Linked DNA regions of Diceros bicornis minor. The protein of the gene in region 2 interacts with the protein of the main gene of each other region in a biochemical or structural test. Links are inferred from orthologs where the notes say so. Each region holds a gene or a part of one and is shown on either strand. Other genes may lie near its edges.

Evidence for each region. The genes of interacting proteins can lie anywhere in the genome.
Region 1: the proteins of ERBIN (region 2) and ARHGEF7 interact in a test that uses a peptide from one of them, tested with the Homo sapiens proteins (2 studies listed by BioGRID and IntAct). The link is inferred for Diceros bicornis minor from reciprocal best matches to the Homo sapiens genes ERBIN and ARHGEF7.

What each region holds. Positions count from the first base shown.
Region 1 is NC_080748.1:85,188,381-85,198,323, reverse strand, and holds the start of ARHGEF7 (rho guanine nucleotide exchange factor 7), read right to left. Parts: upstream 3,821-9,943; 5' UTR 3,779-3,820; coding exon 3,614-3,778; intron 1-3,613. UniProt on the Homo sapiens protein: Acts as a RAC1 guanine nucleotide exchange factor (GEF) and can induce membrane ruffling. Functions in cell migration, attachment and cell spreading. Promotes targeting of RAC1 to focal adhesions. May function as a positive regulator of apoptosis.
Region 2 is NC_080759.1:11,088,886-11,098,537, forward strand, and holds the start of ERBIN (erbin), read right to left. Parts: upstream 4,367-9,652; 5' UTR 3,721-4,366; intron 1-3,720. UniProt on the Homo sapiens protein: Acts as an adapter for the receptor ERBB2, in epithelia. By binding the unphosphorylated 'Tyr-1248' of receptor ERBB2, it may contribute to stabilize this unphosphorylated state.

The DNA of each region.
Region 1 (9,943 bases), on a different chromosome or scaffold from region 2:
GGAGCCTTGGAGAGGCCTAGACAGATCCTCCCCCAGCGCCTGCAGAGGGGACGGCCCTGCCTACACCTCCATCCCTGACTGCTGCCTCCAGGACTGTGCGAGAACCAAGTTCTGTTGTTTAGGCCCCCAGCATGCAATACTTTGTTACGGCAGCCCCAGGACACTAACACACAGCCCAACAGCTTAAACCAGTTTAAACGCGTGCACACACGTACACCCAGGACCTGTAGCAAGACCAGAAGGGTAGCATCTGACTTTCAGTTGCATTCCGCAAATATTGATGGATGGAGTGTCTTCTGGGCAGCACTTGACGGATTACTGTGTGTTCTGTTTTCCTGGGTGTAGGGAGAAAGAACCAGGCTCCTTGAGTTTTTCTTGGTGAATCGACCAGCTGCAGCTGCTGCATTTACAAGTAAAAGTTAAGCAGCATTTCAGGACTTCCATTATTTTAATGTTTTATTAATCTCAGAGTCCTGTTCCATCCTCTAAAAGTTCTCTCACTTGATTTCACCCCCTTTGACTAAATAATGTAGGGATGTTTACCGCATTAAGTCATGAGCTCAGTGCCAACAGGGCTCCCTGATTCTGCGGCCTTGGTGCGTTTCCCATCACAGGAGGAACGAGGGAAGCAAATAGTGTGGGTGGGTCAGCAAGACATCCTGGCCATTACTGGAAAAATCGAAGTGTAAGATCTCAGACACGAAGATTTGGGAAACCTTGTAATCCCCACTCTTCTCTCCCCTCTGCCAGAGAACACATCACTGGCAATAACAAAACGTGTCTCTAGGGGCCAGCCCGGTGGCATAGTGGTTAAGTTCGTGTGTTCCACTTCAGCGGCCAGGGGGTCGCGCTGGTTCGGATCCTGGGTGCGGACCTACTCCCCGCTCATCAAGCCATGTTGAGGCAGCGTCCCATACAGAAGAGCTACAACTCTACAACTATGATACACAACTATGTACTGGGGCTTTGGGGAGAAAAAAGAAAAAGAGGAAGATTGGCAACAGATGTTAGCGCAGGGCCAACCTTCCCCAAAAAGAAAAAAAAAAGACAGTGCCTCACTGGCCAGTAAAAAAAAAAAAAAGTGTCTCTCTTCCAAACTGCTCACACAGAGTTCATAATCCCCTCTTGTCCCTGCCTCACCTTCCGCCTACAGAAAGGCAGACCGCACAAAGGAGGTCCTGGGCAGAAAACCTCTTTAAAATGAGAACAATCTGAACGGAAATGAATGTCCTCTCAGCTCTCCACCCTCTACTGGCTCTAAAACAGAACAAATGAACACAACGCAAGAAACATATTAGGAATGTTTTCTTAATAAAAGGCATCTGGGAACCTGAGCCACCACTAACCTTTTCCTAATTCTGCACTATCCCTAGTGTAATGGTTCATCTTAAACTGTGAATTTGCAAATGTGAAGTTGCAGCTGTGTTTGCCAGTCGTCATGTGTTCATGTAGCAAACTGGGGTAAAGTCAAGATCCTCAATTCCAGATGAATATTCAGTTAAGTTTCCAAATGTTCCTTTTTAAGGAAAAACATCCTCAGACGAACATTCCCACATGCGAGTTACAGCTGTTCAGCCTGCATGCTTTGTCACATATATTATTTGTGTGCGTTCAAATATCATAAAGCTCAAATAAATAACTGTTCTCAGGAAATGGAAAAGCTCACAAAACTTCTGAAACCCAGGGTTTTAGAGGCAGAGATTGGCTAATATTTTACTCCAAAAATCTACCTTTGAACCACAGAGAATAAGTAGCTCTGTCTATAATTTGCTACTTTGCTGTTAAACTTGCACTGTGATTGTGTCCGTCTAAAGCAGACCAGCGGGGCCTGGGGGGACTAACGAGACGGTCACAATGTAAAAATCTCCAACTGACCAGCTTTCAGAATATGCTGGGTTGTTTCAATTTGGCTTCCTCAAGCTAAACATTTTATTCATTCCTCTCTATGTTGTTTTAGAGATGAAAGGAATGCTACAGTTTTCTAAGAAAATCTTTCTAGAATGCAAAAGAAAATGATTTTTGAAGTCTGCCAATCAATATGAATGCAGTTAATATACCAAGTAACGTATGCACTGAGAGCAACATGTTTTTATCCAGACGGCACATGAAGTTTCTTAAAGCTTCCCTCTTGGAAATGGACGAGTATTTTATATAAGCCTATTTTGGTAAACTTAGCATGCATTTTCAACGCTTTTCAGCATCTGTCTTTTATTATCAGAGGATACCTGATATCCAGATGACAACAAAGTATTTTGAGTACCTTGAAAGTCAGATCCTGCTCCTTATTCCTGTCCTAAATCATAATTTTATTGTGACATCAGGTTCATTTACACCAACAATTTTATTTCCTGGACAGGCAGGCAGCTATTCACTCTAAAATGCAGATTCTATTCTCATAAATATGTTTCACGTAAGGAAAATACTTAAAACTAGTATGCATGTAAAATTCATATTAAATAGAATCTTTTCTGACCTTTAAAATGTAGCTCCAGAACATGCACAAACTTATGAATAAGATTAAACATTTTACTTTTTCAAGTCACCTAATTAGCATTATTAGCAAATTGTTATTGTGCGTAGGGGTCAAGACAACTCCATTTAAAAAATGAAATAGTTTTTCCTAATTAGTGTACTTCAATTTCTCCATTTAACACCTTGTAAGTAATTGTTGATCTTAAGATTATGTATTGGCAAAAAAAAAAAATGGGACAAGATTGCAGTGTTTTTGACATACAGGCATACACCGTTTTTAAAAGCGTTCCGTCCCCTGCACTGCTTCGTCAGCCGTGGAGAGGAACGCAAACTTTAGTCACTCACGGAGATGCGGGTCAAGGTTCACACTCCAGCCCCGGAAACTGCCCGTCATGAAGAAGAGGAGCAGAGTCTGTAGGACTAGGGGTTCCGCTCAAATTCAGGTATGAACCTGAAAATGAAATCTAGGATTTTAAGCCAGCCTTGAAGAATGCCAGGGCTTTCCAACCCCGTGTCTGCCATCCTCTGGCGCGCAGACGGGAAGAATTCTTTCGTGGAGAGGGCGGAAAATCGTTTCACAACCCAGCCCTCAGCTATCGATGAATGCAGCTTTAAAAAATGCATAGCAATTGGTCAATTAAACAGAGGGTGAAACTCTCATACAATACCAGCAACAAAAGCTGTTCAAACAAAGCCCTCGGACGAGCTGTGCGCAGTGCTGGAGCACGGTTTTCTGCTGGGGTCACCGAGAGGGACGACTCCACCTTCGGGCGGGGCAGAGCAGAGCGCTCCCCTTCCCTCCGGACCTCCCGGGGGGCGCTCCTCTTGAACGCGGCCCCGGCCCCCTCCCCAGCCGGCACCGCACACAATGGCGCCCCGAGCTCCCGCCACCGGGTTCTCGCGCCGCTGGCGCGCCCCCCGCGCGGCCCGCGCTCCCGGGTCCGCGCACAAAGGAGGCGCGTGGGCTCCTCGGCGCCCCGCGCTCCCCGGCCCGCGCAGCCACCAGGTGCGAGCGCCAGCAACCCCGCGCCCGCGCGTCTCCGCGCGCCCCGGGCCTCCCCCCGCCAGGGCTCCCGCTGCCCTGGGCCTGTCCGCCGTGCGGGCCTGTCCGCCGTGGGGGCTCGGGGCGGGGGGCACTCACTTTCTCGATGGTCCCGGGCAGCAGGCGCTCCAGCAGCCTGCAGAGGACCACCCCATCCTTCAGAGACGCCTGCAGGAAGCCCTCCGGGTCCGAGATGGTTTTCTTGGGCGACTCCAGCACCCCCAAGGTAATGAGCCACGTAACGGTCTGCTCGGCGGAATTCATAGCGGCGGCGCGCCCGGCCTCCCCGCGCCGCGAGCCGGTCTCGGCGCCGTTCACCTCGGAGCGGCCGCGGCCAGGCCCGCTGCGCCCCCCGCCCCCTCCTCCTGCTCGCCCATGGAGAGGCCGGCGACGGCGATTGGCTCGGGCGGCGCCGCGGTCCGGCCGGCTCGCGCTCCCTCGCGTGCGTCCTGGCCGACTGTCAAGTGCCTTTTCATTACATGCACATGAACCTGCGGCGGCCGCCCGGCGCCGCCCCCGCCGCCGCCTCCCGGCTCCCAGCCGCTGCCGCCGATGACATCACTGCCAGGAGAAGAAAAGACGCCGCGCTGAGCGGCCCCGCGCCGGGCCCCCCGGCCGCCAGCACCCCCGCGCTCGGGCGGCCGCCGTGCGCCCCCGCCGTGCGCCCTCCACACCCGGGCCCCGCGCCATGCGCCCCCGCCGTGCGCGCGCCCCCACCTGCGAGGCCGGCTGTGGGCCCCCGCCCCAAGGGCCCGGTGACCTCCAGAAGGCGACAGCCCGCGGGCCGGGGAGGGCTGGCCGGGCCTCCCAACCCGCGGGGCGCGTGCGCTCTTAACCGTTTGCGCCCCGCGGAGCCCACGCGCAGCCCCCTCCGGAGGCGAGAGCCCGGCCAGGCTCCTTTCGCTGTCCTCTCCCTTCCGCTGTCCTCTCCCCTCTCGGAGGACTCGGAACCCTTTATTTATAGTCTCAATTCATGAATGTTTAAATTATTAAATGCTTCCCAGAATGCTCTTTTTATTTTTGCCAGTTTCATTTCAAGAGGTTGGGGGGTTGCTGAAAACGAGATGTTTGCTTCTCTCCCCCTACCTTGCAAGCCAATAATTACAGAACACAAATGATAATTAAATCTGTAACCAGATGGGTCTAATTCAGGGAAGAATTGATTTTCTGGGCGCTGCTGCGATCCTTGGGGATATGGAGGCCCCAGAGCGCGGTGCGGCCGGTGTCATGCGTGCCCCCTGCTGGGAGGCCTGTGACCTCAGCGGCAGGGACGCGGCTGGCCCCTCTCCAGGACCAGAAACCTTGGAGCGACTCTGTTTTAAGTTGCTGGTGACGTTTCTAACACTATGGGAGGAAGGTCAAGAAAAGAGCAGAGGCTGACCTGGGTCTGTGCAGATGATAGGGAAACAAGGACTGAGAACAGCTCAGTCCAAACAGGCCGTTTGGCCAGATCCCACTTGGACAAGAGATGCTCTGTTGCAGACAAGGCTTTGAAGGCACTCGGGCCAAACCTGAAGAACTCAGCCCTCCAACTGTCACTTAAGGAACTTGCTTCTTCAAACAACGAATGACATTGACACATGTAAAGGCTAACGAAGGAGAAGAGCCTCTTCTTGAAAGAAGCAGGTGTGAAGGTGTCCATGTATTTCCATTTACTCCATCCACAGTCCAGGAGTGCCTTCCCCACTTGCTTGCTAGGACTGCCCATGGCAGCTTCAGACGGTATTAACGGTCACCTACAGAGAGCTTACTGTGTGCCAGACACATATAGCAACCCAGTTAGTGACAAAGGCTAGAAAGACTTTTAAAAACAGAGGCTTAACTCTCCTCTTCCTCTGCCTTCTTCCGGAGTACTTCCATTGCAATCGTTATTGCATTTATTTCCAGCTTGGAGTTAGCGTTAAATTTTCTTTCCAAATGCAAACACAAAGTAATTCAAAGAGCAGTATGAATTCTGGATTTTGAGGGCCCCCTACTCGGTGGTCACAGCCGCCACTTCCTGAGCTCCCTGTGTCTCTGCCCAGTGCTCCCCCGCCACCCCCCCCCCACATTATGTCACACCATCGTTACTACAGCCTTGTGGAGTTTCTCTCATTGTCCCCATTTTACTGGTCACACATCCAACGAGTGGTGGAGATGGCCTCAAACCTGGGCTCTGAGCCTCCAGGACCCACACACCGCACATGTTTTCTAGACCACTTCCCTACACGACTTTTAGGAAACGGCAATTAACAGCTCCATCAAATTTTGTGCCGAAAGACTCTATCAGTGGAAGGGTGTTGACCTGAGTAGTTCTCCACTCTTGAGAGATGCCTGTTTACTCTTAGTACTGCTCATTTGGAGACGTAATTTAGAGTACAGTCATTTCAGATTCCATTACGTTAGATCTGGTGCTTGTAATCTGGTAAACAAGGGTAAGATTCAACTTGACTCAATCAAATGGTGGTACAGAAAGGCAACTCTGGGGCGTGGCCTTAGGTCACCAGTGAACCTGGCGCCAATTACTGTCAGAAGGGAGACCCACGGGCCACCTGCCAGAACTGGTCTCAGAAGTCCCTGGGCGTTTAAATGCTTCAGAGCTATTAGTGGCATTCTTTTACCTCGGATGTAGATTAATTTCAGAAAAGTTTATTTGTAAGGGATTCTAGAAAGTAACGTTGTTCAAAACTAGGTGTTTTTTGGTGTTTAACTGAGCTGTTTTAGCATCCAAGGTGGGCATTTGGTTACACTTAACATTTTTCCAAGTTCCTATTACAGAGGACGTGTGCTACAGAGGAGAACTCGTTGTTCTGTTGGTTGGAGCCAGTTAGGATTGTTGTTGGCGGAAGACTTGGGCCCTGCCTGTGGATGCCCTTTGACCCACCTCTGAAGAGCATGTGCCCTTCAGTTCCCTGACATCTCACGAGAGGACCTCAGCTTCACGCCCAGCTCGGCTGCCTGGTAATGCCTGAGAGCCACCTCCCAGTCGTCATTGCGGTGCACCCACAAACGGCCACAAACCAGTAGTCACCCAAAGCTCAGCCGAACTGTGCTGACTCTATTTGTCAGCTTATTGGTGCTTGGGGATGGTGTTACAAAAACGTTGAAATCTACCCCAACCTGAAGCCAGGCAGGCAGATGGCTATTTACCTAGCAGTGCGTAGCAATCTCTCCCTGTAGAATTGCTTTTATTGACTGGACTATGATCTAGATTGAAAAATGCTGTAAGAAGCAGTTCTATGAAGCTCATTGTATCTACTGTGTGTTATCAAAGACACTCATTTTATCAGGGTCCTATTTATTTGGCATAAATATGGTCAACTGCTAAAAATTAAAGATGCAGGGCAGGAAAAAAATAGTTAATAAACATGTATGGCTGAAAAATTACTCAAGATCGGAAGACACTTTACCAATATAGTATATTATGAAACATAATGTCACTGAGACACTTACCCTAGTTTAGGTTCCCCCAGAAGCAGATCCTGAGCCAACAACTTGGGTGCAAGTAGTTTATTCTGGAAGCCATCCCGGGAAGGATAAACGAAGAAAGGGAGAAAGTGAACGGGGAGGAGGGAAAAAAGTGAATCAAAGATGTGTAAGTGCGCCCCATTCCCCCAGAGACCAGGGGGAGAAGGGGCTCTGTTCCCCCAGGGAGCCTGGAGAAGCAAAGAGGAACAGGTCTCAGTGTCTTCTAACCGGAGGACCAACAGGCTAAGAGTTATCCCCTGACTCCCGTCTCCTGTGGTTGAGGGTCTCCTCCAGGGGCAATGACCTCTAATTCAGCAGAGCCTAAAGTCGAGAGAGCAGGAGATCCCCCACGTGGACCCCTGGGAGAGATGGTAAGGGGGCCAATGCTCTTTCTCCCCGTTGCTGCCTGGATGCTGCCTTGTAGCTACCAGGGGAACGACACCATATAACAGCCACTGGTTCAACGTATATGCTGTCTTGAAGGACAGTCCCTAACCCTGCGGGAAGTCACCCCCTCCCTGGCCTCTGCATGTATCCATCCAGTGAGAGGAATCGCCTCTCCCTCCAGGACTGCAGGACTTGGGTGTGATCGACTTGCCGCCAAGTGGCTGGTGTTACCACATCAGCGGGCAGAATCATTCTCTGCTGTGGGTAGCGAAGTCGGTAGCTGTAGCTCCTGCTCCCCTCCATCTCTTGGACACCTCCATCCCTGCCATCAGGACTGTGCTGTCCATGGCCTGTTGTGCAGGGCACTGGAGTGGCAGGCAAAGCCTAGGCTGGCTGCCCTCGGCTACAGACACCATCTCTGCGCCTGGTTGCTGAGCGCCTCTGCCTCAGTGATGCTCTCTGGGGATGGACATGGGGCTCAAGACCCACAGGCCTGTGTCTGCGCCCACAGGTCCCTCCACAGACCCCTCCCCACCTCCTTGCCACCACTCGTCCCACCTTGCCCCTTCCGGGCACCCAGACGAGGAGCCAGCCACCCACCCTGTCCAAGCGTCTGAGCGCAAAGGAGATGACCATGAAAGGCTCAAAGCTCTGCCAGCAGTCCTCACCGCGGTCCTTTATCCCGCCCCAGAGTTGGGCTGTCATGTGGCAGCAGTCCGTTTTCGGTTCATACTAAATTATCAACCAGACCCATTCGTAAAGCAGGCCCGTTCTCTCTCTACCAGCTGGTCATAGTAAACGTTCCGCGATGTCGCAGGTGTGAGCTGAGGAATGTTGGGAGTCCAGCCAGCGGGGGCAGGGGACTTGGAGGACTGGGTCATTTGTGTCAGTAGCTTACTGTGCCTCGGGACCTGCTCATGCCACGTCCCAAATGCACCTATCCCTGTGGGCTGGATGGCTGCTATGCTAGCTCCACCTGGTCACTTGGCGCCCCTCCCGGCCACTGCCTGTCAGAACGTCCTCTTAGTGACGTTGATGCCCCTCGTCGGGGCATTCTAGCTGCTTTAGAGAAAGGAGTGTCTCCAGGTCTCCAGCTGGTGTCCATTCCAACCCTCCCACCTCCCTTCCTCCCCACTCTGCCCAGGCTGCCCAGCCTGAGGAGCTATCCCTGCACAGACTAAGGGCCGGCTCTGCGCACCAAGATGTTAATCCTGAGATGGGAGCACCATCACATCCCAGACCCTCCCATCCAGCCGTACGTGCGCCCCTCCCACCCTCGTCCAGCAAACCCATTCTTGAACACAGAGGGGGATTCTGATGAACAAGCCGTTCCTCCTCTGGCTGCTCTGGGACTGCCCCCGCCGGGTCTGCGGAACTTGGCCGGTTGCTGGTCCAGAGGCAGTGAGGGGAGACGGGGCACAGCATGAGGAGCCCTTGAGCATCGTGTCTTTTAGCCCAGCACAGCCTGTCGTGGTCCCCAGGCCATGGAAAGCTGTGCTTCTCTAGCTAATCTGTCAGGGAATCAGAAATCCCAGTTTCTCGAAACCTCCACCCAGTGCCCCCTTCCAGGTCTCAGGGACTCTCTCCCCGCAGCCCAGCCCTGGACTCAGCCTGGGCAGAGGCCTGCCTGGGTGCCGGGCTCAGCTGCCCTGCAGACCAGCCACGTTGACAACCAACTCTGGGCCCTCTTGCTTCAGGGGACGGAGGTCTCTCCCGTGCTGCCACAGAGGCCTCTGCCTCTCACAGGGCCTTCACCTGTCGGCTCCCTGGACCTTTCATTCTCTTTCTTCAAGGCTTCTAGGGCAGTTAAGAAAAGTCAGCCGATTCCCCAGTCCTTATCACTGCCCCTGCCCCCGTCTCCTTCGGACGCTAGAGTTACTTCATAAGCCGATGCTTCCCTTGCACCTGCTCTGTATTCCATGCAGCACAGGTGAGAGTTGTAATCATCGTGAGGTACAGAGTGGGGGTTGTTACCACTTCATGTAGCACCAGCAATAACATCTGTGACGGTTCATTTTATGTGTAAACTGGAGTGGGCCACGGGAGGCCCAGATATTTGGTCAACATTATTTTGGGTGTGTCTGTGAGGGTGTTTTTGGATGAGATTAACATTTGAATCAGTAGGCTGAGTAAAGCAGATTGTTCTCCTCAATGTGGGTGGGCCTCACCCAATCCGTAGAAGGCCTGAATAGAACAAAAATGCCAACCCTCCCCCAAGTAAGAGAGAATGCTTCAGCAGATGGCTTCAGACTGGAACAGTGGTCCCCTGGGTCTCCAGCCTGCAGGCCCACCCTGCAGATTGGACTCACCAGACTCCATAATCATGTGAGCCAATTCCTTATAATAAATCTCTTTATACCTAGCCTATTGGTTCTGTTTCTCTGGAGAACCCTGACCAATACGGCAGCCTATGACCAGGCAGTGTGGCTGGTGAGAGACGTGAGTCCAGATTCGCTTCCTGTGTGTCTGCTTCCCAAGGTCACTTCTGAAAGCTACTGCCTTGGGTTTGGGCTCCCAGAAAGCCAACTCCGAGACAGGGCTTGGGTGCAGGCAGCGTATTTGGGAGGTGAGCACAAGAAGCACAGAGGAGGAAGT
Region 2 (9,652 bases):
AAAGAGGAAGATTGGCAGATGTTAGCACAGGGCTGATCTCCTCACCAAAAAAAAAAAAAAAAAGAAACAACAGCTGAACATGAAGAAAATACGGGAAGTACAGTAATAAAAGGAACCTAAAGGTATTAGAAGAAAAAGCTGAATAATAGCTAGATTTCTTTTTTACAATTAGAAAACCTAGGACAGAGGAGAAAGCTAAAAGGTAAATCTGAAAAATGGGCGTAGTATGGTTCCAGGGTTAGTGATGACAGGCACCAAGAAAGAAACAAAAAACAAATAATGTGGAGTAAATCAAAGAAAAGTGGAAGGCAGAAATGCTAAGCTTATTTCCTTAGAAAACTCAAAAGTAGGTATTATAGAGCATAATTCACGTATATATTTTCTAAGGCAGAGAAAACAGTGTGCATTCAAAAACGCAATGATCTATTGTGAACAGCTACACAGGTACAATACACGATACCAGGAAAGGAAAAGAGAAAGACATCTTTAGGACTTTATAATATAGGCATTCCCAGAAAAAACAAAGCATGTAACAGAGAAATGGATGAGCAAGGGTAAGAGTCAAAATAAAAACGCAAGCAACAAAGTGTGTTTAAAGAGAATTTAGATAAGTAGCAATTACAGAAAAGCAAATTACTTTGCTATCCAACATGACTAAAATTCTGCATAATCCCAAATACTTTGTAAACACTGCTATAATCTACTTCTAAATCAAAAACAGCTTAAACTCTAAATCATGTTATCTATAAGCAATTATTTAAAACAAATGCCAGGGCCAGCCCCGTGGCTTAGTGGTTAAGTGCGTGTGCTCCGCTGCTGGCGGCCCAGGTTCGGATCCCGGGCGTGCACGGACGCACCGCTTCTCTGGCCATGCTGAGGCCACGTCCCACACACAGCAACTAGAAGGATGTGCAGCTATGACACACAACTATCTACTGGGGCTTTGGGGGAAAAAATAAATAAAATAAAAATTAAAAAAAAATAAAATAAATGCCTAAGTATGCCCCTAATTTTCTGAAATTTTAAAGTGTGTTTACCGAAGTAAGGTATTGTGTACTACCAAGAGCTCAATACCAATACAGGCATGAGTCGCTTAACGACAGGATACATTCTGAGAAATGATTCATTAGTCAATTTTGTCATTGTGCGAACATCAGAGTGTATTTACACAAGATGGTATATAGTCTACTATACACCTAGACTACATGGTACTGATCTTATGGGACCACTGTCATATATGTTGTCCATCATTGAGTGAAGTCGTCATGGAATGCACAACTGTATCTCTAAAATAACTGAATTTTAGAGATGTACCAATGTGGTACATGTAAAACGTCTGTATAGCTATCACTTCATTAAGAAACAACATGCAATAAAAATTTGGTTTCCATATTTGAACCTTGGTAAGCTTTTCAGATGTGAAAAGTTTGCAATAGCTTGTTCTCAAACAGCAGGCTGACTTCATAACGTAATATCTGAATTAATTAGTTAAGAATCAAGTTTATCACTATTGAAAACTCCTAAGTACCTTCAATAAACAGTAGCATTAGATGTGCATTTGTGCAATATAAGCAAACACTTTGAAGTACTCTATATTTGCCAATCTAATCTAAGAAAACCCACACAATACTAAGAAGAATATACAAAATTTGAAGCCATTTAAAAATATTTTAACTGATTATTGTTTTTTTAACTTCTTTTCAAACCACTGTCACATTTTAAACAAGGCTTTAAAAATATTTATAGTTTGACAATAGTATAAAGCCTAAAATTCATGAAGTTAATTCAGTGCTAAACTAACAAAAATTGTAAGTAAACCACAAAGTAAATTTTGCCTTGTGGAGGGGAAAAAAGGAATCAAAGACAACTACAAAGGTGAACATCTCACTTTTAAAAACGTGTGGTCTACATCTAAACATACTATTGCTCCCTAAAGAAAAACAACGATCAAGAACTATATCTAAAAACAGGAATTTAAGAAGTTATTTTCAAATGCTACAATATTTCTTACACATAAAATTTACTAATGCAGAGAAATATCTGCTCAAAATGATAATTCTCTATAAAAGACTTGTTCTGTTAAGGCTTTGTTGCTCTGAGGCCAAGTATAAGCCATATAAGGGAACTGAAGTTCAGTGCCATTTATTTTGTTCCGCTCTTTCAGATGCCCAAGAATAACCTCCTTCGCTGCCTAATGATACGTTCCAAAATCAAAAAGTAGATCAGTTATTTACTTTAAATTCCTTGATAAAGCAGCTTTGACTTAACAGGAATTACCTGATGGTTCACAAATCTTACCAACGAATTTTTTTTTAAAAAAAAAAAGGATCTCCAGAGACTAGGCTCTGGGGAAAATATCAAAACAATATATAGTAATAAATAGTTAAAAGAGTCTCATTTTGAAATATACTTAATAAAGTAACAAAAACCAAGTTGTGAAATAATTTGATCTCTTTAAAACCTACCTTTTCTCTTCTTTGGACTAAAGAAAGCCAACTATTTTTCTTGGGGTAGCATGGGCAAACTAAACATCAATTTATATTTTAGATATACCTACAATGGAACACCATATTTATCTAATATTTATGCAAAAGCACAGTATTGTCTTTCACCTCCCTTTACCAGAAAAGTACTGGAAAAACAAAAAAACTTAAAAAAGATACACACTAAAAGGCCACTGAAGAAACCGTTTTGTGTTTGCTGCGACCAAAACTAGTTTGATCTATAAAGACTACCGATTGGTTCAGTAGTGTTTATAACTCTGCCTGGTGGAATGTCTCTCACGCATCACTAATCCCTGCCTCTACATCAGGTACCTATCACTTATTAGGCAGAACCAGCCAAAACATTTGGGCCAACACAAAAATGTAAATACTGTACTATTCAAAAAGCACAGCTCTTTATCACAATGTGATTTCCAAGAAAATCGTTTGAAGCATTTTACTTCCTTTCCTATATATTCTGATCTGAACTGCAGAGACGTCCTAACAAATCAAACGACTTATAGCTGTTTTTTGTTTTTTAATTGTAACTATCCACAACACTTACGCTCTCCTTCTTCCTACTAGGTCAGCTACAAAAAACTCTAGCAGACCCTTGCTTTCAATTAATTAACCATACAAGTATTATAAGGTTCTAAGCGTCTGAAAGGAACAAGTTACTGAAGAAATATATTACCCACCTAGAAAAATGACTCAGAATGGCAAAGGTTTTTGTTTATAAATTCAACGAAATATATTTCTAAGTGTTGGAACTACAAAATCTCTATATACGACTGAACGCAAAAGCCTAATAAATGGGTAACAGTATAAACAAATGTGGCAGCCATCTCAACAACAGCAAACCACTCGCTGCAGCGACCTTTCTTCTAAAACCAAAGTTGCCGGTTCAGCAACTTAACAAATAAAAAATATACACTGTATATGTTCCGGGAAACTAAAACTTCTGGACCTTGCGCTGAACAAAGGCATTCTTTCTTCAGATTGCTTAAAACTTTTCATCCCACCGCATTCTTTCAACCTCTTCTAAAATAACCAGAGTCCTGATGGTAGAAGGGGGAAAACAAATCAGTTCTACCATTTAGCACCTAAAACACTATCCCGTTCGACATGAGCAAAGGTGAATTCAGGGACACTTGGGAAAAAGTGAAACACACTCAACTATCCTCTCTTTCCTGGCCCAGGAGCTTTGTGACTTCTAGACACTTTTCGTGGAAATTACCTTTCGGTCGGGCAGTGTCTCAGGGCAGCTTTTTCAACGCTTCGCCTGACATGATTTCCTTCCCTTCATTAGTCACTTCGGATCCAGCCGAATTTCTCTCTCCGGTAAGAGCGGATGTGGAGCGGCCTCCCGCAAGAGGAAGAGTAGGTTGCTTTGGTGGGGGCTGGGAAGCGGGCTGGTTTCCTGGTCTCGAGTTTTGCAGGAGTTTCCCAGCCCCAACTAAGATCTCCGCCGAAAAAAAAACTTTTCACTCGTGACACCGCCCGGAATTACCGTGCGAAACTCACTTCCTGCCCTGGCGAGAAGCAGGATCCAGCTCGGTCCAGGGCAACCCGGAAAACCAGCTCCGCGCGCTGGAGGGGGAGGGGACGGGAGGGGAGGGGGCGCCGGCGGAGCCTCGGGCTCCGGGAGGCCGGCGCGCCCCGCACGCCCGACGGCGGCGGAACCCGGCCGGCGGGCGCGAAGACGCGGCCGCGCGCTGGGCGAGCCTCGGCCGCGCTAGGCCGCCACCGCCCCCCGAGCCGGGCAGCGCGGTTATTGTCTCGATAGCGCCTGCCGCGCCCTTCGCCCGCGCCGCCGCCGCCGCCGCCGCCGCCGCGGCCCCGAGCTGCAGCCGAGGGGCCGAACAGCCTCGAGGGCGGCCCCCTCCCCGGGCCGTCCGTCGGGCCGTCCGTCCTTCCGTCCGTCCCTCCCGCCTTCCCTACCCGCCCTCGACCCCTCTTCTGCTTCCTCTCCCGTTTTCCCGCCGCCGTCCCTTCGCTCCCCTCCTCGTTCTTCTTCCCCCTCCGGGCGGCGGAGGCTCCCCCGGGCAGCGCGGGGGGTGCGCGCCGGCGGCGGCTTCGTCTCCTCAGGAGCTCGCGGGGCCGCGGCAGGGGCCGAGGCTGCGTCCCGCGCCGCCGCGCCACATTCACTCGAGCGCGAGACGGAGAGGGGAGGGAGGGCGCGCAGAGAAAGGAGGAGGAAGGGGGCTGGGGCGGAGGGGAGGCACTGCCTCACAGGCCGCGGCGGCAACAGCGCCACCGCCCCGCCGGCGAGGGGGGAAGAGGCTGCGCGCGGCGGCTCCGCGGCGGGGGCGGGGCGGCCTCCCGCCGGCTTCACCCCCCCGCCCACAGCCGGGGGAGGCCGGCGCGAGCCAGTCACCGCGCACGGGGCGGCGCGGGCCGACGTCGGCGGCGCTGGGCCGGGGGCTGGCGGGAGGGGCCGGCGGCGGCCGGGGGCTCGCGTGCGAGGCGCGGCGTGAGGCCCGCTCCGGCCCAGGCCGGGGAAGGCCCGCCTGCCGCCCCCAGCCCACTCCCCAGCCGCCTAAGGTGGGCGCGCTGACGACGCTGACCCCGGCTGCCCCGCGCCCAGCCCGGTAGCGGGCCTCCGGCGCCCCGGCCGATTGAGTGTCTTTGTACGACAGTGATCGGCGCGAGGGGTTCAAGTCCAGCCCCGATTTTCAGGCTGCAGGTATCTCTTTCAACTGCAGCACTCCAACTTCCTCTAAAGGCACGCTCAGTTTGCAGGAAACCACAGCGGCAGCTCAGGGGAGCTTCCCACGCCGGCCCTTGCTCCGAGCCTGCTCGCACAGCAGCGCAGCTGGGGCTCCTCCAAGTCTCAGCCCCACACCGGCGGGGAGACAAAGCTGGCGCTGGGAGGGGGAAAAGGGCCCGCGAAATTGCCTCAAGGTGGTGCCTTTGTTAGAGGAAACATTGTATACGCTCCGAAAGCGACAGAGGCTTCCAACCCCAGCGGTTTCGGTGCACCAGTCGGTGAATTGCGCTGGCCCTAATCTATCAGCCTGGCAGGGTTTGCGTTTACTGCGGAGAGAGATTCTTAAGCATTCTGTCAACACGTGACATAGAACGCCTCAACCATAACATTGCACAGTTTGTGCAGTTACTGCTTTAAATATGTTGACAGACAAGACGGCCTTGTTTCACCCGGAGAAGGAACTTAATAGATACGGAACGAACCATTCCCCGCCCCCAGTCTGTGCTGTACTTAACCGTGTACAGTGATGGTAATTAGTCTCTGTGTCCCTGAAGTCACTGCTTCAGTTCTTCCGTCTGTGTTCCAGAGATAATTATTTATTAGCAAGTTTGAATAAAGAGCTGTATGCCCTACAGATGATTTTTGGCTTGCATCCAAAGGAAGGAGTTCGTGAAGTCCATCAAAGAATTATTTACCAAAGTGAGTTGTATGCTAGTGACAAACGCTTGAAACAACTCCAAAGATATTCAAGACGTTCTGTTAGGGGTAGGAGCGTTTTAACTACTTCCAGAACTGCTAGAATAAACACAGGTAGTTCCTTAGCTTAGAGCAGAAGTTGAAGGTTCACAGACACTACCAAAGTGGTCAGGCTTATTTAGTGCTGAACTGGAGGTAAGAGAACATTAAAGCAGGAAACAGCAGCCAGGTCTACTAGTAAGTATAAGCTATTTTTAATTGTCACAAGAAAGATTTCCTACTCCACTTTCGAAAACTGGTTTGAGTCTGACCAGACTCCTTGGTATAGCTCTGAACTGCAAGGGTCACTCTCCTAAAGCAGCCCAGCATGGAGTATCTCCCATACCAGCCAGAGGCCAGCTGTAGACCAGCTGGATTCTAGGATTCCAATGTCACATTTAGTCTCAGGTTGATTCAAGACCCGTTTAAATGTGACATCATAGAATCAAGTAAATGTAATGTCCCCACACCACCCGCAAACCTAAATAAATAGGACTAGACCAGTCCCTAGGCTAGAACCTGCCCTGGCCCTAGCCTTTATTTTGACTTAAACTCATACTGGGGACCAATCTGGCTGACTACCATTTAGGCTACAAAAGTCCCTATGACCAAAAACCCCTCCTCCAACTCGCCTAAATTTTGCCACTAGCATTTAATTCCTTTGAGTAGTTTATTTCTCTAGCATAATCCTGGGAAAGGTACTCTTTTAAGCCTTATTAGTCTTTTATACCTAATTCATCAGATTGTTTCCCCAAAGCAGCTTTTGATGGGAGGGAATATAGAGATAGCATATGCTGATGCTGAGAAGGTAGGAGTGGGAAATGTGATTTCATTCTTCGGGGGAATATATGGAGAGTAGAGAAGTATAGACAATAAAGTGCTCCCTATTCGACTGTTAAATAAGTCCTACTTACTCATACTGTAAGAATGAACCCCAAAACGCTGGCCTTAAGAGGATGGAAGCCAGGATACACTTACCAATATTACCTATTTTGACAAATGTTTCTTTAATAATCCTTCTGTAAAGTATCTTCAGCAGGGATTCTGCATCTGTGCTCATGCGAGGGTGAAATGACAACTATATGATCAGAGTATTCAACAATCAGAATAATGATTCATCTTTGTTATTCATTGCTGACTGCTTGGTTCTAACTCATATGAGCAGCACATACAGATATAGCCAAATCTTCCGTTTGTTCTTTTACAAGGCACTCGTGTTCCGTGCTTTACAAATTAGTTTCCTTTGAAAATCCTTCCACAGTTGAACTAAGATGGACTTAATGTTTCAATTATGATTAAAGGGAGAAGTAAAACCCCACTTTAAATGAGGCTGCCTAACTGTAATTCTGTAATGATTAATGAACTCCAGGACCACCTTAGAGAATAAGCTAAAAAATAGTTGTTGATAGTATAACTTGATATTCCCCATTGTGATTCTCTAAATAATTGTCCGTGAAAGACAGGGAATTCTTTCTTTGGGATTCTCCCTTCTCATGGCTGGGCTCAGGAAAGGAATTACTGTCTGCTAGAGATAAGCCACATATCTGAAGGAAAGCCTTAAGACCTTAAGCGTTCCAGGGAATGCACACAGCATCCATCAAAAAAAAGTGTCTCAACAGAGAGCCTATCCACTGTTTTAAAAAGGGTTCCCTGTCATTTCCCCATGCCAGCCAAGCAGCTGTGCGCAAGCATTTGTGACCAAGTTAGCAGAGGGCAAGGAAAAGTTTAGGGTGATCATTCTTTTCTCCCTTTCTCAACACCTAGTAAAGAATTGGTGACCTTGAACCAAAGCTTTTATCACAGTAGTATTTGAGAAAAATTAATCTTCAGGCTAGAATAGAGTTAGATTCAAAAAAAGTCTAGAAGCATTAGATCAATTAGATCAAAATGCATTATAACATATATTTTTAATAGGGATTGACTTCCCTATTTTCACTTCCATCTTAGCCCGTTGATAGTGAGGGCAGGAGGTTAGGGTGGCAAGTGTGTGGGAAACGGACATTTGGGCTCAAAAGAGGCAGTAACATGCAGGAACCAAAACTAAAGATTTTATAATACTTTGGGAATGGAAACATCCCTCCCATAGCATGTTTCTGCCTTTCAGACATATTTTCAGTAATATTTTATCAATCACAGGGAAGTCTCCCTCTATTTGTGAAAAGCTTTATGAAAAGTTTTGAAGTTTTTTTTCCCCTAGTATATCCTTGATAATCTTTTTTCCTATCCATACATTTCGTAGCCTATCCAAATTAAATTTCTTTCAGATGTCTTATGAACATTTTTAAAGTGTGGAGGAAATGAATAATGCGTGGTGATTATTTGTGTGACCTCTGAAACAAGACTGCTTGAATTAGAAACTTGGCTACTGAATGACCTTGGGCAAGTTCCTGAACATCTATAAACGTAAACTTGAGCTTCCTCATCTCCAGAACGGGGACTACAATACTAACTGCCTCATAGATTACTGGGAGGACCACATGGGACAGTGCTCACAAAGTGCTTAGCACAGTTTCTGGCAGACTCAAAAGTGTTAGCTGTTAGTAGTGATGCACTTTTAGATGCACTGATAACATGTAACATGCTTCCATCATTTCTAAGGTGACCGTATAGTGTATCATCCAGGCTAGAACACTTTTGAGAGTGAAAGCAGACATTTAATAATAATTACACAGGGACAACAAATGTAAAACCAGGACTGCGCTGAGCCAACAGGGGCAAATAGTCACCTTCATAGTTTCCAACTTTATCACCTTCTTCTGATCCACTTCCCCTCTCAAATTTTCCCTGGTGTGAATCATAATCTATTTCAATCATATTGCAATATGCACACTTCTCTCTAAATCTTAACAATATTAAATTAACAGCAACAACAAAAGATTAAATACTGTGGCTTAATGCTCCTTAATGCAGGCTTTCACTTAAGAATATTATCTTTCTTTGAGTAACAAAACTGCTGTTTTCCTACTCACTTAAGCTCACACTTAATAACTTTACATTTTTTTCTATAGTATTTTGTTTTAAAAAACTGTTTAGCATCAAATATGCCATAAAAATAGCGGATATGTAAGTATTAAGCATAATTTGAGGTGTAGCAAGAGGCTAAATGCCCTGCTCTAAAACGCCAACTATGTTACATAAAAACTTTTTTTAGTTAAGTAGCATATCACTCCTATTCCAAAGTAAGAGTGAGTCATCTCCATATTGTCGATGACAACCATATCATCATTAGATTACTGGATAAATCTCACCTAAATTTGGTTTAATCAGTATTTGGAAAATGATATTTCTCAATTGGATTTTCTAAAATAATTCTGGATATACTTTAACACTCATACATTCTTCTCTTGGAAAGAAATTTATTTTCTGGGAATTGACTGCAAATATCCTTCAAAAATGCTGATCTAGGGCCGGCGCCATGGCTTAGCGGTTAAGTGCGCGAGCTCTGCTGCTGGCGGCCAGGGTTTGGATCCCGGGCCCGCACCGATGCACCGCTTCTCTGGCCATGCTGAGATCGCGTCCCACATACAGCATCTAGAAGGATGTGCAGCTGTGACATGCAACTATCTACTGGGGCTTTGGGGGGAAAAAAATAAGTAAATAAAGTCTTAAAAAAAAAAATGCTGATCTAAACAAAAATATATTTTTAAATATTTCCTCTCTCTTCTGTTTTCCCTAGTCCAATCCCTTTGTTTTTATGCCATTAAATTAATGTCAACCATCAGAT